Linked DNA regions of Stegostoma tigrinum. The protein of the gene in region 1 interacts with the protein of each later gene in a pairwise test. Links are inferred from orthologs where the notes say so. Each region holds a gene or a part of one and is shown in the gene's direction. Other genes may lie near its edges.

What was found. The genes of interacting proteins can lie anywhere in the genome.
Region 2: the proteins of pomp (region 1) and psmb8a interact in a two-hybrid assay, tested with the Homo sapiens proteins (2 studies listed by BioGRID). The link is inferred for Stegostoma tigrinum from reciprocal best matches to the Homo sapiens genes POMP and PSMB8.

The regions. Positions count from the first base shown.
Region 1 is NC_081359.1:79,199,353-79,206,856, forward strand, and holds the start of pomp (proteasome maturation protein), read left to right. Parts: upstream 1-4,416; 5' UTR 4,417-4,518; coding exon 4,519-4,521; intron 4,522-5,729; coding exon 5,730-5,830; intron 5,831-7,504. UniProt on the Homo sapiens protein: Molecular chaperone essential for the assembly of standard proteasomes and immunoproteasomes. Degraded after completion of proteasome maturation. Mediates the association of 20S preproteasome with the endoplasmic reticulum.
Region 2 is NC_081387.1:1,253,894-1,261,951, reverse strand, and holds the start of psmb8a (proteasome subunit beta type-8), read left to right. Parts: upstream 1-4,961; 5' UTR 4,962-5,090; coding exon 5,091-5,234; intron 5,235-8,058. UniProt on the Homo sapiens protein: The proteasome is a multicatalytic proteinase complex which is characterized by its ability to cleave peptides with Arg, Phe, Tyr, Leu, and Glu adjacent to the leaving group at neutral or slightly basic pH.

The DNA.
Region 1 (7,504 bases):
AAAAAGTCTGAAATAGAAAGCTAAGTAACCACAGTCAATTGTCATTAAAAAAAAATCTAGTCAACTATTCAGGGAAAGATATATGTTATCCTTATCTGGTCTGGCCGATTTGAATTCCAGACCTATAGCAATATGGCCACCTCTTTAAATGACATCTGAAATGGTCCTTGGAATGCACTCAGATCAAGGGGCAATTAAGGATGTTTGATTTGCCAGGAATGAATTAAAAACACAATTGGAACTGCTGAGCTACATCAAACCTTTCAGACTCTTTCCTAGGATAATAGCAGAGGATTTGAATGTTTATTTTAATCAAGGAAACTTCATCTTTGTTCTTCCTCCTCTCACATAAAATTGGTAATCCCTTCTGAATTCTCAAAGAAATGGTTCTGTATGCTTTTTAGGAAATGAGTGTTATCTTTTTTGCTTCCTGGTGAACTTCAGAAAGTCTGATTCTAACGGACGTGTTATTTGTCACTCCATTATCGGAAGGAAATCATTGTCTTCAAAATGGTACATAGCCAGACACACAAAAATTCCTGGTTATCAGGAATTTAAGGAAAAATAGTTACATATTTTCAGTTAGAAAATTGAGTAATTTTCTTGACATTTTCAACAGTATTCAGAGAATTCACCAATCTAATAAAGATATTTAAATTAATTAAACAACTTCTGACACCAAGCCACCTGAGGAGATATTAAGCCAGCTGACCAAAAGGTTGGCCAAAGAAGTAGGTTTTAAGGAGTGTCTTTGTGGTCAAAAAAAGTTTTTATTTGTGGGGTGGTGGAATCTCAGATCATAACACCTTGGCAGTGATGGGAATGGAAATCACTGGTGGAGCGACTTAAATCAGGAATGCCAAAGAGGTCAGAATTGAAGGTGTGTAGACATCTTGGAAGATTTTGGCTTTTCATTCATGAATCAAATGGGATTTTTACCCCTGGCAATTGACAATAATTTTGTGGTTATCATTAAACTCTTAATTTTTGTCATTTATTGAATTCAAATTCTATCATCTGCCATGGCGGGATTCAACCATTATCTGGGTGTCTGAATTAACAGTCTAGTGAGAATATCACTAGGCCATCATCTATTTCCCATGTTAGAAATGTTTCAGAGATAGGGAGTGGCCAGTTCACAGTGAGATTAGAAAACAGAATGATTTTAAAATTCAAGTTCTGCTTTATCAATGGATTACTCGTTCAGGAACATTATCACGAAGTCATCATCATTCTGCTAGTTGTCAGGTTTGCACCACATAACACACAATGTTACAAAAGATTGTCACTTGTAACAGTCAAATAAATTTAATTTCAATATTCTTGTCATTTTTACACCTTTTTAATATAGATTCGATTTATGCTTTGTGTCATCAGATTGCTTCTACTCACTGAGATTGGTATGTTAAGTCCATGGATGTTGCTGTATTTGAGATTTCTGCAAGTGCGCTAGTTTGGGGAAAGCAAATTTTATTTTTCCATTTCTCAGTGCTGATGCACTCCCCACAACATTAACAAAATGTATTTCAATAGCCACAAAATTGTCTGGCAGCCAATAAAATGCAGTATTAACGTATATTTTTCTTTTGCATTTTCTTACCATTATGTGTCCTTAACCATCTGTCCAGAGTTTTCATGCTTATTTTGAGTAGCTTATTATAAAATGCAATATATAATAGAATCCACATCAGATTTTTTTGCCCCTGGTATCGTCCAGAGATGTCTTTAGCTGTTTATAGAGTCATAGAGCCATACAGCATGGAAACAGGCCCTTCAGTCTAACCATTTCATGCCAAACACGGTCCCAAACTAAACTAGTCCCACTCGCCTGCTTCTGGCATGTATCCCTCCAAACCTTTCCTATTCATGTACTTACCCAAATGTCTTTTAAATGTTGTAATTTTACCCACATCCACCACTACCTTAGGAAATTCATTAGGCGTGCAAGCCACCCTGTGTAAAAAAAAAGCCTCATGTCTTTTACAAAATAACTCCCCTCTCACTTTAAAAATGTTACCTCTACCCTTGAAATTCGCCCATCCTAGGGAAAAGACAGCTACCACTAACCCTATTTACGTCTTTCATTAATTTCGAAACACTTATCAGGTCACCTTTCAATCTCCTATGCGCCAGTGAAAAAAAGTCCCAACCCTACCAGCCTTTCTTTACATCTCAAACCTTCCATACCCAGGAATATCCTGGCAAATCTCTTCTTAGCCCTCTCCAGCTTGATAAATATCCTTCCCATAACCGGGTAACTAGAACTGAACACAATATTCCAGAAGAAACCTCACAATCGCCAGGTACAATATCAAATTGACTTCCCAACTCCTACACTCAAAGGACTGACCAATGAAGGCAAGCGTGCCAACGCCTTTTTAACCATCCTGTCATTATGTGGCAGAATTCACAGAATTACATACCTGCACCCCTAGGTTCCCATGTTCTACAACACTACCCAAGGCTTTACCATTAATTGTATAAGTCCTACCCTTGTATGTTGTACCAAAATGTGATACCTCACATTCATCCAGATTGAACGCCACCTGCCATTTTTCAGCCCATTGACCTATTTCATCACAATCCCTCTGTAATCTTGGAAAACCTTCTTCACGGTCTACTGTGCCACCGATTTTGGTGTTTTCCGCAAACGTACTAACCATGCCTTCTACATTCTCATCCAAATCATTTATAGTACATTTCTAACAGACTTTAACCTGCAAACAGTCTACTCCAATTAACTTTTGAAATTTCTCGTCTCATACCATTAAAATTTGCTTTATTCCAATTAAAACTTTAACTTTTATGGAAACTTATCCTGTTCCATAAACATTTTGAAACGAATAGAATAATGATCACTCAACTCAAAAGTATTCCCCCACTTTTACGTCAGTCACCTACCCTGCCTTATTGCCCAAATGGTCTAGTTTTGCTCCTTCTCTAGTAAGAGCATCCACATATTGAGAGAATTTTTTCTTGAAGACTTTTGATAAATTCTTCACCATCCAAACCTTTTAACACTATGGTAATCCCAGTGAATGTTTGGAAAGTTAAAATCCCCATTATTACTACCATAGTATGATTACATATATCTGAATTCTCCCTACATATTTGTTTCTCCATTTCCCTCTTCCTAGTAGGGGGTCAAAAGTACAATCCCATTAAAGTGTTCTTTCCTTTCTTATTTGTAATCTGAACCCACATATTTTCACTGGGTGATTTTTCAGAAATGTTTTTCCTAATTACAGCAGTAACGTATTCCCTCATCAGAAATGCTGCCGCATCCCCTCCCTCCCTTTCTTTCCACCTTTTCTATCCATCCCATGGCACCTAATACTCAGAAAACTGAGTTGCCAGTCTTGGCCATCTCTCAGCCCAATTTCTGTAACAGCTGTAATTTCCCAAACACACGTTCTTAAAACATACTCTGAATTCATGAGCTTTACCTGTAAAACCCCGTGCAATGAATTAAATGCAATTTAGTTCTTCAGATTTACCACATTCTCTGACTCTCTCGTCTTTCTTTCTTAATTGACGTGCTTTCCTCACATTCAGGACCTTCCCTATCAATCCTTCTGTTTACACTGTTATTGAGAATTCCAACATTCCCCCTCTCTGTAAGTATAAGGTCTTCCATAATGGAATGAGCAAACCTCCTGTTAAGACATTGGTCCTCTTTCCAGTTTGGGTTAGGCCCATCTGTTTTGATCAAGACTTTTCTATTCCAAAAGATGTTTCAATTGTCCAAAAATCTGAAGGGTCAGAAACTGTTGTTATGAAAATACAAATAAATCTTTTGCCTTTCATAATATTCAGGAGTGGTTCTGTCTTTGAACTTCTCTACATCTGCATCTCTTCTCCCTTTAAAAACCTTTTACTTTCCAATTTTCTCACTCTTGTGATTCAGTGTACTTTTCTTGTTTACTTCCTTTGAAGTGCCTTTAAATACAACTTTAATGAAGTTAACAGTGCTATAGAAAACAACTCATTAATTTAAATTGGTCACTATGTTTGAACAAAACCGCTGGGTTCTCTCTTTCTTGACCAGGCTGACATTTTATTTTGATCAGAGATGGAAGAGAAATATTTGACCCTTTACTCCTTACTGTGTTGCTGCTTGGTATTTGCATTTGACAGGAAAAGCCGTGCACCTCCAGATAATTTCCCTCAAAAATCAAGATGCTACCTAATCTTGAGATGTATTGATGAAGAGTCAATGAAGCCTTCGAAACATTCATTCTGCTTTCTTCATACAGATGTTGCCAGGGCTACTGAGTTTCACCAACAATTTCTATTTCAGATCTAGTATCCACAGTTCTTTGTTTGTGTTCAGTTCAGAGATTACACAACTCTTGAAGAAATGGGACATACACCCAAAGGAACTTAACCAGAATTGCTCTCATTCCTCCCCTCCCACCTGGACACAGCCGCAGGAAGTGACGACATCCCAATCAGGTCACGTGGCCGGAAGTTGTTGCGGAGCAGAGACGGAGGGTGATAATCGGGCTCTGAGCGGAGATGGTGAGGGGCTACGTTAGAGGCAGAGGGATATGGAGAGGTTTTTTTTTACCGGGGATGGTTTTACCTTACCGTGCTCTGCTCTGTGGCTGTAATACTGGGGCACACGGGGCTGACTGATGCCGGTTTACATTCTGATGAGTCACCCGCTCTGGGCCTGCTCTCACAGAGCCAGGCCGGGGAGAAGGTAGTCTCCCGGCAGCGAGCCGGCGGGAATTCCCATCAGACGATATCATTCACTTCACCCTTCCTCATTCTCCTCCTCTAGTGGTGCCCCTGGAGCTCTCTCCCTAATAAAGCGGTTTATTAAAGTGTCGCGGGTAGCGCTTCATTGTGTGTTGTTTCACTTCCCGTTGGCTTCAGCAGACCTGTTCTCTTACCTCGTGTGTTCCGTGGGGTGGGGTATTTCGCGTGTGTGCAACACATTTCATGCTGTCGAGGTACTGTATAGTCCGTTAAGTACTTTTGACTGCTGTCTGTGTACTTTGCACATTCTCCTCGCGTCTGCGTAGGCTTCCTCTCCAGAGGCGAAAGATATGCCGTTTAGGTTGATTGGCCATGCTAAACTGCCCATAGCGCCCAGGGATGTCCAGGTTAAATGGTTTAGCTGTGGAGACTGCAGGTGTACAGGGATGGTTTAGGGAGGTGAGTCTGGGTCGCATGCTGTTTGGACAGGTCGGACTAGATGAGTCAAATGGCCTGCTTCCACACTGTAGGGATTCCATGGGTTGAGATAGTCATTGTCAGTCTGGTCAGAATCTTTCATGATCTAGTGCATGTTACATCCTAAGAGTAGAAGCATCAATGGATGGAATTTTGTGCCAAGTAAGGAGTGCTACAGGCTTCACTTACTATGTTAGGTGCCATATTCCAGTTGTTTATAATTCAGGCATAATACATTTGCAGCTTTGGATCTTTATTGTATTCCTTCACTGGGTCAAGATCTTGGAAGTCTCTTCCTAATAGCAATGCTTCTATCTGCAGCACATGGACTCCAGCAGTCCAAGAAGGCTGCTCACCTTTACCATCGCAACTTGGAATGTGTAAGAAATGCTGATCCAGCCAACAATGCTTGCATCTTGTGCATAAAAATATAAATAAAGGAGTGCTCCATCTGAAGACTGAACAGTGGCCTATGTCGCATAATAATTCACTCTTCTGATTATATGCTCTATTACATTTTTGACATTTGTAATATTGTTTTTTTACAGTATTCCAGAGGACTTAAATCTCAGTTGAAGGACAGTGTTCCTGTTGGTGGACTGGCTTCTAATGCAGGACCCTATGGTGTGCATGATACGTTGCGCCGGGGGTAAGTGCAATATAGCTTTTGTAGATATTGATTGCTAAAATTAGTGCTGAATAATGCTGAATTTACTTGCTTGTAGTATGACAGTCATGTGTTTGGAAACAACTGAATTAGTGGTAAAATAATCCAGTTGTTAAATCTTTAGATTGCATTTGTCTAGATAGTTCTTTTCCGTTTGACACCGTTACAGCACAATTTGTTCTTGATCTTTGCCATTGTATTCAGTTTTAGTCATCTGTGGACAAACAGTTTCTCTAGGTTGAACGTAGAGTTGATTAGCCAGAACTGATTCATGCATTAGTTTATATTGTTGTTACGAAGTGTCTAAATTGATGAATGCACTTTTCAGCGAATGCTGTTCGAGCTGAAGCACTTTCTTTACTCTGCAGTCCCAAACCAGTCTCAAATGCAAGTTATTTATCCTTTGGAGCTGCATTGTTTTGATGCTTTCTTTCCCAACAATAAGTGTCACACTTCAAAAGAGTATTGTCTTATAAAGCATGAGAAAAATTGAAATATGTTCAGGTGTATAACATTTATGACGGTATTGTCATTATTATGGGTCTATCATGATTAGTCTGTGTGATAATCCCAATTGATGCTAATACTGGACAAGTCAATAGCTGAGTGAAACCTGTCATGATAGACTTAAATTTTGTTTTTGTAATTTGTGGTCAGCCACTGAATATATCCTCATGAGGCTGCCAATCAACTGTGAGGAAGAATGTAAGTTTGACACACAAGGAAAAATGCAAAATTATGACAAATAGTCCAAAGAAAGATTCAGAGATAGTGAGAACTGCAGATGCTGGAGTCAGAGATAAAACTGGAGCTGGGGAAACATAGGCCAAGCAGCATCAGAGGATAGGAAAGTTGATCATTTTGGGTTGGGACCTTTTGGAAATGGGGAGGGGGAAGGGAGCTCAGAAATAAATAGAGAGGAGGGGTGGAGCTGGGGAAGGTAGGTGGGATGGAGATAGGTGAGTGCAGGTAGGGAGTGGTGGGGATTGGTCAGCGAGGTGGAAGGGCAAATAGGTGGGAGAGATGGGCAGGTTGTCAGGTCAAGGAGATGGGATGAGAGGGAGAGTTGGTCATGAGATGAGGTCAGGGTGGGGGATTTTCAAACTGGTGAAATCCATGTTTAGGCCATTGGGCAGTAGGCTCCTGAGGTGGAATATGAGGTGCAGCTCCTCCAGTTTGCGGGTGCCGTCACTGTGACACTGGAGGAGGCCAGGATTAACATTTGGGCAGCACAGTGGCTCAGTGGTTAGCACTGCAGCCTCACTGCACCAGGGACCCGGGTTTGATTCCAGCCTCAGGTGACTGTGTAAAGTTTGCACATTCTCTCTGTGTCTGTGTAGGTTTCCTCAGGGTGCTCCGGTTTCCTCCCACAGTCCAAAGATATGCAGGCGAGGTGATTTGGCCATACTAACTTGCCCGTAATGTTCAGGGATGTGTAGATGGATTGGGGGGATGGTGGTTGTAGGTGGGATAGGTCTGTGTGGGATGCTCTGAGGATCAGTGTGGACTTGTTGGCCCAAAGGTCCTGTTTCCACACTGTAGGGATTCTATGATGATACCCAGAGTGAGAGGGGGAGTTAAAATGGTTCGCGACTGGAAGGTGTTATTGTTTGTTGCAAACAGAGTGCATCTACAAAACAGTATCCAAGCCTTCGC
Region 2 (8,058 bases), on another chromosome or scaffold:
CACAGATCACCCCCAACTCTCACAGATCACCCCCCAACTCTCACAGATCACCTCCCCAACTTGCACAGATCATCCCCCAAAATCATACAGATCATCACCCCAACTCTCATAGATCATTTTCCACAACCCGCACAGATCACCCCCCAACTCTCACAGATCACACACCCAACTCTCACAAATCATCCCATAAGCCTTACAGAACACAAGCCTCCAACTCTCACAGACCACACTGCCCAACTCTCACATATCAAACTCCCAACTCTCACAGATCACCTCCCCAAACTCACAGACCACACCGCCCAACTCGTAGACCACTCCCTCCAAATCTCACAGATCACCCCCCAACTCTCATAGATCACCTCCCCAACTCACACAGATCATCCCCCCAACTCATACAGATCACCCCCAACTCTCACAGGTCACTTCCCAACTCTCACAGATCACCCCCCCAACTCACAGTTCATTCTCCCAACTCTCACAGATCACACCCAACTCTCATAGATTACCCCACCATGCCCCTCACTCTCAGAGGGTTTCTGACAATTTAAAGCCTAAAAATATGATCCCAGCCACAGTTTGTTTGTGATATGCATCTGGGAGAAATAATTCCTCCCCAAATCCACGTTCAGTGGGAGCCCCTTCCTGTTTAAACAGCTCCTTGTTGTTCTTACACAACATGGGTACGATCAGCATGATGTTACAGAAAGATAGGGCAAGCTTGAAGAGCTGTGTGGCCTCCTCTTTCTGATGATCTCTTTGTAACTCTATGTGTCCCAATCTCAGGATGGGACAGCTCCCAGAATCTGGTTTTGTGGTCCAGTTTACCTCACTGTAAGACAGCGGTGTGAGGTGCTTGGGGCGGGGGCGCAAGATCAGGCTTGTCTGGTGATGCTACTGCTGTCAACTTGCTGGCCAAGACTCATTGTTTGCATGCATGAAGGAGAAAGAGGGCAGAGATCTGCGCGGTGAAGCATTATTGATGTAATGCCAAAGGGAATGTGGCAGGAGTAAAGTCCAAAGCAGCAGAAGAGCCCACACTGCAATCTGAAGGGGACAGCAGAATTTGCACCTGAAAGGTGTTCCTCCCCAACTCCTTGTCTTTCAAACAGGCATTCTGCAGCCCTCTGCACTGACTCCCAACATTGCCAAGCCCTACTCTCTGGCACCCATTTTGTCCCTTTGCCCAAGCAGGTTTCCAATTCAAACAGGTTTAGCTTGCAGACAGTAACACAACTCTCAATCAGTAAACAACCCCTGGCCCCACTCCAGGCACTGTCACTCCTCATCTCCAAGCAGCTGTGGGAGCCTCATTCCCCTGCCTCTGACCTCCCTCACAGGGTCAGCACCTCACACTCACCATCACACACACAGTCACCATCCCTCCCCTCAGTGTGAGCAGTGCACATTCACCCTGACACACTCAGCTTTTTAGGGCAGCCTAGAGAGAAACCAATTCGGGGAATGAGGAGAGCTGGGGCTAGATCGTGCACTCTCAGGGACAATCACGAGGTTAAAGTTTTCAAGAACACTTGTGACTCATTTGTGGATGAGGTTGCAGACATGCTCACCGAGCTGATGTATTTGGTTGCAAAAGTTTTGTCACCCTGCTAGGTAACATTGTCTGTCCTCCTCTAGTGAAGCATTGATGCTCTGTCCTGCTTGTTATTTATATTTCTCAGTTTGTTGGGGTGGTTGGTATTTCTTCTTGTTCTGTTTTTCACTGGTTTGTACACAGGGTCTAATTCAATATGTTTGTCGATGGAGTTACAGTTGGAATGCCAGGAATTCCCTAGCATGTCTCTGTGTGGATTATGCGATTATGGATGTGTTGTTCCAGTCACATTTGTGTCCTCCATTATCCGTGCGTATTGAGACCAGTGAGAATTGGTCATGTCACTTGGTGGCTAGTTGGTGTCCATGTATCCATATTGTAATTTTCTTCCAGTTTGGCCTATGTAGGTATCTTACAGTCCTTGCATGGTATTTGTAAATTATGTTATTGTTATTGCTTGTGGGTATAGGATCCTTTACATTTGTCAGTAGCTGTTGCAGGGTGGTTGTTGGTTTGTGGGCTACTCTGATACCTAGTGCTGGGGGAAGGGGACTAAAGGAGCATATTTCCACGCCCCCCCCCCCCCCCCCGCAGACCAGGGACAAAGACTCAGCAGGCAGGCAGGATTCAGGCAGTGACAGACTTTATTCATGCAACAAACAGTTAATGCTGGGAGAGGGCCAAAGATCTTCCCTGAATCTGGCCTCGATGCGAGAACCCAATTTTTCCCTTAATCTATGGCTCAGATTGGAAGAGAGATCAATGGCACACTCTGATTCTTGCAGTGAAAGATGACATTTTTATACATTTTGTGTTACAATAATCACATACAGCATGGACACGTTCCCTTATTCTATACATTCAATCCTATGATCCACTGAGTCAATGATGGGCTCTTCTATGAACAGCCCTGTGTTTCCATGATTTCATGGTGTTAACAGACATTGTAGTCGCCAGACCTTGGAATCTTTCTATGCAACCTATTAATTCACACTCCAAAATTCCTGGTTATAATCCTTCAGACCTGTCCCAGGCTTGCTTATCTCTAAGGGCTGCTTGAATTCTGTTATTCATTGTAATCCATGTGCTATTTCTATCAAGTTCTGTTATTCCTTCCATATTTTCTACTGAGCCAAATATGTATAAAAAAAGACAGTTGGTTTTCTAACTAACTGCCTTAAGAGTCATAGTGTTAATTTCTATTTTACAGTTAGTTACACATGAAGATTTATAACCACTTCTACTGTTAGCACCTTTTAACTTATAAGTCGCAAACAATCTATTTCGCTCAGGACGTGCCAAGCACATTTTTAGAGACAAGGAAAGTGGTTCCCAAGACTAATTAACTTTCACATCAAGGTTTAAATGTTTTTCCCCTAATGCTTCTATTGTATTTTGGTTATACGTGTATCTGTACTTACATTGAAACCTATCCCTATAACTATCTGAAGAATCTTTAACTGGAACCTATTTCTTAATATTGTGAATAATAAAGAAACAACTAATTCCTACAAAATAACTTTAGCTGTTGTTTTCATAGCTGCTAGATGAGTTGGGCTGACTAGTTCATGGACTAAGATTTACACCCCTTGTTCTAATTGGTGCTGTTCACCTAATGGGACAACATCCTTTCATTAATGAGGCTGGAATCAATCACGTCTTATTTTAATAAACTTGAGTATATCCCTAGATATTCCCGTACAAACTGTTCCTGTGCTGCATTGGCTATGTTTGTGCACCTGTCCAAATGTTTTTTAAATGTTCTAACTGACGTTCTCCAGGAGTATTTGTAAGAAATGCACTGAACAATAAGAACATACACTTGATGGAAATCAGGTCAATATGATAAAACTATGAACATTATTTTTTGTGAAATTTGAACTTATTATGCAATCATACTATTGTTTACCAAAGCTGGGTGCCTGGATGTTTATGCAATCTTTGTAAACTGCCTTGAGTGCCTGGCTGGACATACTGTACATCTCCATGATTCTGAACTGAAAGGAACCTGCAGGGTGAGACTTTCCCCAGAGATTACTGATGCAGCACAAGCACTGACTTCTCATTGGGTTTTAGTGCATCACTCTTATTTAAAAACAGAGACTGCTCAGTGTTTGATGTTAGACAATTCCTTCTATTTGAAAGCAATAGGACATTTGGGAATCATTTTCCTGATTTTTGATCATTGGGCTGCATTAGTTTAATCCAGGACTGTTTGGGAAGGGCGAGGGGAATGTGCCCAGAATTCCAGGTCGAATATTCAGTGCTGAGGGAAATTGGAGCCAAAGCTACTGGCAGTGAAAACTATCATAAAATCATCACATTCAGACCCTCTCAGACCTCCATGACCCTCTCACTCTACCCACCCCCAACTATCCCAGTCTGACTCCTTAATTCCCCTCACACCCATTCTGAATCCCTCATTCTCCCCATCCCAATCTCACCCCTCATTCCCTCAAATCCCACCCCCTCATTTCCCCAATCCCAATCTGACCCCCTCATTCCCTCCGAATCCCAATCTGACTCTTCATTCCCTCAAATCCTGTCCCCTAGTTCCCTCCAACCCAAATGTGAACCCCTCACTCCCCCATTCCCAATCTGACCCCTTCATTCCCCCAATCACAATCAGACCCCTTTATTCCTCCAATCCCAATCTGACACCCTCACTCTCCCCCAATCCCAACAGGATCCCCTAAACCCAATCTGACCCTCCTCATTCACCACCCCCACCCCATCCCAATTTGATTCCTTTGTCCTGGTGTGATCCCTTATCCAATGTGATCTGTGCTATCCGCATGTTTCCAGAAAGATGCCCCTATTCCAGCATGATCCTGCCATGACCTGACGTGATCCCTCTGTCCCCCGTTGTTCCAGTGTTAGTCTCTTTGTGCTGGTGTAATCTAGCTTCAGTCACTGCTCTGGTGTGACCTAGTATGACATGTCCTGATATGATCTGCTGTGAACTAGTGATCTGCTGTGATCGCCTGTCCCTGTGATCTATTCTGAGCTCCCAGTCCTGCTGTGATCCTCTATTCCTATATGATCCTCTGTGATCCCCATCCAGCTGTGACCCTCCTGTCCTGGTGTGATCTGTTGTGATCCCTCTGTTCCTGTGTGACCTGCTGTCCCAATGCAATCTGTCGTGAACCACTGGCTGCCATGATCGCTGTGATCCTCTGTGATTCGTCCTGACCCACTGAGGTCTCTGTTATCTCCCGTGCCAGTGGGATCCTCTGTGACCACCACCCCAGTCCTGTACCGCTGTGATTCGCTGTCCCTGTCTGATCCTCTGTCCTGGTGAGATCGCATGTGATCCACCTGTTCTGTGATCTTCTGTGCCAGTGTGATCTGTGACCACCCCCTTGACCTGCCGTGAACCCTGTCCCGCTGTTACCAACACCAATCCCACCCCCTCCCCCAGACCCCGTCCCGGTGTGATCCGTTGTGACCCATTCTGGGTGGTGCTGGCGCTGTTTCGGATCTGCAGTTACTTTCGGTTGCACTTTCGGAGCTGGAGCTGAGGAAGTGAGGCGTGGAGATGGCGCTGATGGAGGTGTGCGGCGTTCGGGACTGGAGTCGGAGCGATCTCCCTCTCGGACAGAGCAGCCTGCTTCTCAGCCCAGGGCAGCAGCTTGGTCTCTGGGCCAGGGACGGGCAGCTGGCGGTACCGGTTGGTCTGGATGTGAGTAACTGCAGGTTGATTCCTGACCCTGTCTCTGTCGGTTCCGGTTTGTTCAGTGAGGTCCCGGTTTCGGTCACAAATCCCTGAAGAAAACGATCAGAGATATACGGGGCAAGTGGGGTCAGGCAGACTGGAGTACAATGGCTGGGAAAGCGTCTAACAGAGCTCCAGGACTGCAGGAGAGAGGAATGTGTGTGTGTGTGTGAAAGAGAGAGAGATAGGGTGGCAGTACGTGAGAGGGAGGAAGAGTCAGTCCAGTTCATGTGGTGACCATCACTCATGACAGACTTCAGGTTGACAGTCGTCACTATCCTGCTGCAGATGTTAAGAGCGTGCGGATGTTGACTGGAATAACTCCCTCTCAGGGTCGCTAACTGTACCTGCTTGCGGGTTCCATGACCTGGCCCAGGACAATCACCGATTTCACTGATAAATTCTCCAGGTGGTTATTTCTGATCAAAATCTTCACCTTTTCCAGAGTTATTGCAATAGTTCATTTCATTACTGCTGAGTTACAATATTTTAATCTCAGCCTAACATAGAAGCACTTAAAAACAGAAACGTTTTGAATCATGAGGTCACTGCCAGGCTCCATAGGTTTTTCAGTTCATTCAACTAGATTAAACTTCCATTTGGCTAACCCAGCAAATGTTAAGCTAATAACCCCACAATCTATGATAAACATTATGAACCACCAACATACAGCTGTATGAGTAACCCCCTAATAAACTCTCCCATACAGAAAGAAAAGGGCGTCACAGGGCAGAGTGAATGACTGGGAAAGCAGTTCAATAGTCCCTGTCCACAGGGGTCACTGAGATGGTCCTTATGGCTTCTCAACACTTGCTGATCTCCCTCTCTGGGTATTCACATTTATTTGTAGAAGGTAGAGAGTGACTGGCTCACACTTAGAGAGAGACTCTGACTTGCAGGTCAACAGCCACAGCTTAGAGTAACTGTTGTGGGAAACAGAAATGGATTTGCTTCAGACTTGAGGCAATTTTTATTGCAGAGAAGGGAGGTTGTTTGGTGGCACAGTGGCTCAGTGGTTAGCACTGCTGCCTCACAGCACAAGGGATCTGGGCTCAATTCCAACCTCAGGTTACTGTCTGTGTGGAGTTTGCACACTCTCCCTGTTTCTGTGTGGGTTTTCTCTCGGTGCTCCGGTTTCCTCTCACCATACAGGTTAAGTGGATAGGCCATGGGAAATGTGCAGTTACTGGAACCAAGTGGAATGGCATACTCTTTAGGCGACTGGTGCAGACCGGATAGGCCAAATAGTCTCTTTTTGCATTGTAGGGATTCTGTAAATCTACACACTCCTGTTCTTGCGGAGATCCAATGGCATTTGACTCAAATATTTATGCCCACAATCTGTTCGAATTGCTGGAAACCAATCGCATTGTTGTTGGCCAGCCTTTGCCATCGTTAACCAGTCACTAGCACATAGACCAATCAGCCACTTGTTGCTGGTTAATTCTCCATTCAGTCTTCTTCTACAAATCTTATCTGCAGTGCCTGAACACACAGTCAGTGTCAAGTTGCCTCCTTTTAAAGAGTAACATTCCTTCAGCTATCCTTGGCTTTTAAAACAGTAATTTTTCCCATTTCAGTCCAAAATGAAAAATAAAGGAAAGTGAAAAGTTTTTAGAGTAACCATTACTGAGGCATGGCTGCAGGATGATCAGGATTAAGAACTAAATATACTAATACACTTGGATACTAGATTTTCAGAACTGATAAGGAGAATAGCAGAAGGAATGAAATAGCCTTACTGATTAGAAACAAAATTACTTCAATGGTGAGGAAGGGTATAATGAGGGGAAGGCTTTCAATGGAGATTGCACGGATAAAACTGAGGGACAGTAAAGTATCTAAAACTAACAAATGTGGTGCAGAGAACCACCTGGGAGCAGCTCTGAAGTGTTAGATCACACAAACACAGAAATTAGTCAATCGCATAGAAAAGTCAAGAGTTGTCTTGATGATAACAAGGTGTGGAGGTGGATGAACACAGCAGGCCAAGCAGCATCAGAGGAGCAGGAAAGCTGACGTTTCGGGTCTGGGCCCTTGTTCAGAATTTTCTGAAAACACAAAAAAAAAGCCTTTGACAATTAAACAGATAAGAGATAGCATAAAAATACAAATAGCAGCACAGATCCTGCTGAATGAAAAAGATACAAAAACCAGCAAAGGGCCATAAAGCAGCTTATAAAGCTGGTGAAAGGGATTATGAAAGGAGATTTGCCAGAAACATCTAAAAGAAGAAATGTCATTGTTACATAAAAGGCAGGTGGGTGGTCAGAAGTGATGTTGACCCATTAAGAACTGAAATTGGAGATAATTATCAATGACCATGGGGAAATGGCTAACATTTGGAATAATTACTTTATCTAAGTATTTACAGTAGAAAAGGGTAGTTTGACAGTATAAGGAAATGTATAGTGGATCAGGAACGGAGACTGAAAAAAAATAATGTAAGTAAAACAGCAATAATGAAGAAATTAATGCAATTCAAAAGTGGCAAATCGCCAAGTGCTGACAGTTTTCATTGAGGGGGTGAAAGGAAGCAGGGAAGCACAATGAAGACACCCTAGCTGTATAGTCTTTCACAAATCTCCAGTTGTTCCCTGCATTGGAAAACTGCACACAGCAGTCTGTTTTTTAAGAAGAATGAAGAGGAAAGGCAGGGATTGTCAGATGCATTAAACTAACATCTGTGGCGTAGAAATTGTTAGAGGCTACAATCAAGGATGGGATAACAGAGCACATTGAAAATTTTCAATTAATCAGGGGAAAGCCAACATGGTTGGTAACACCTATG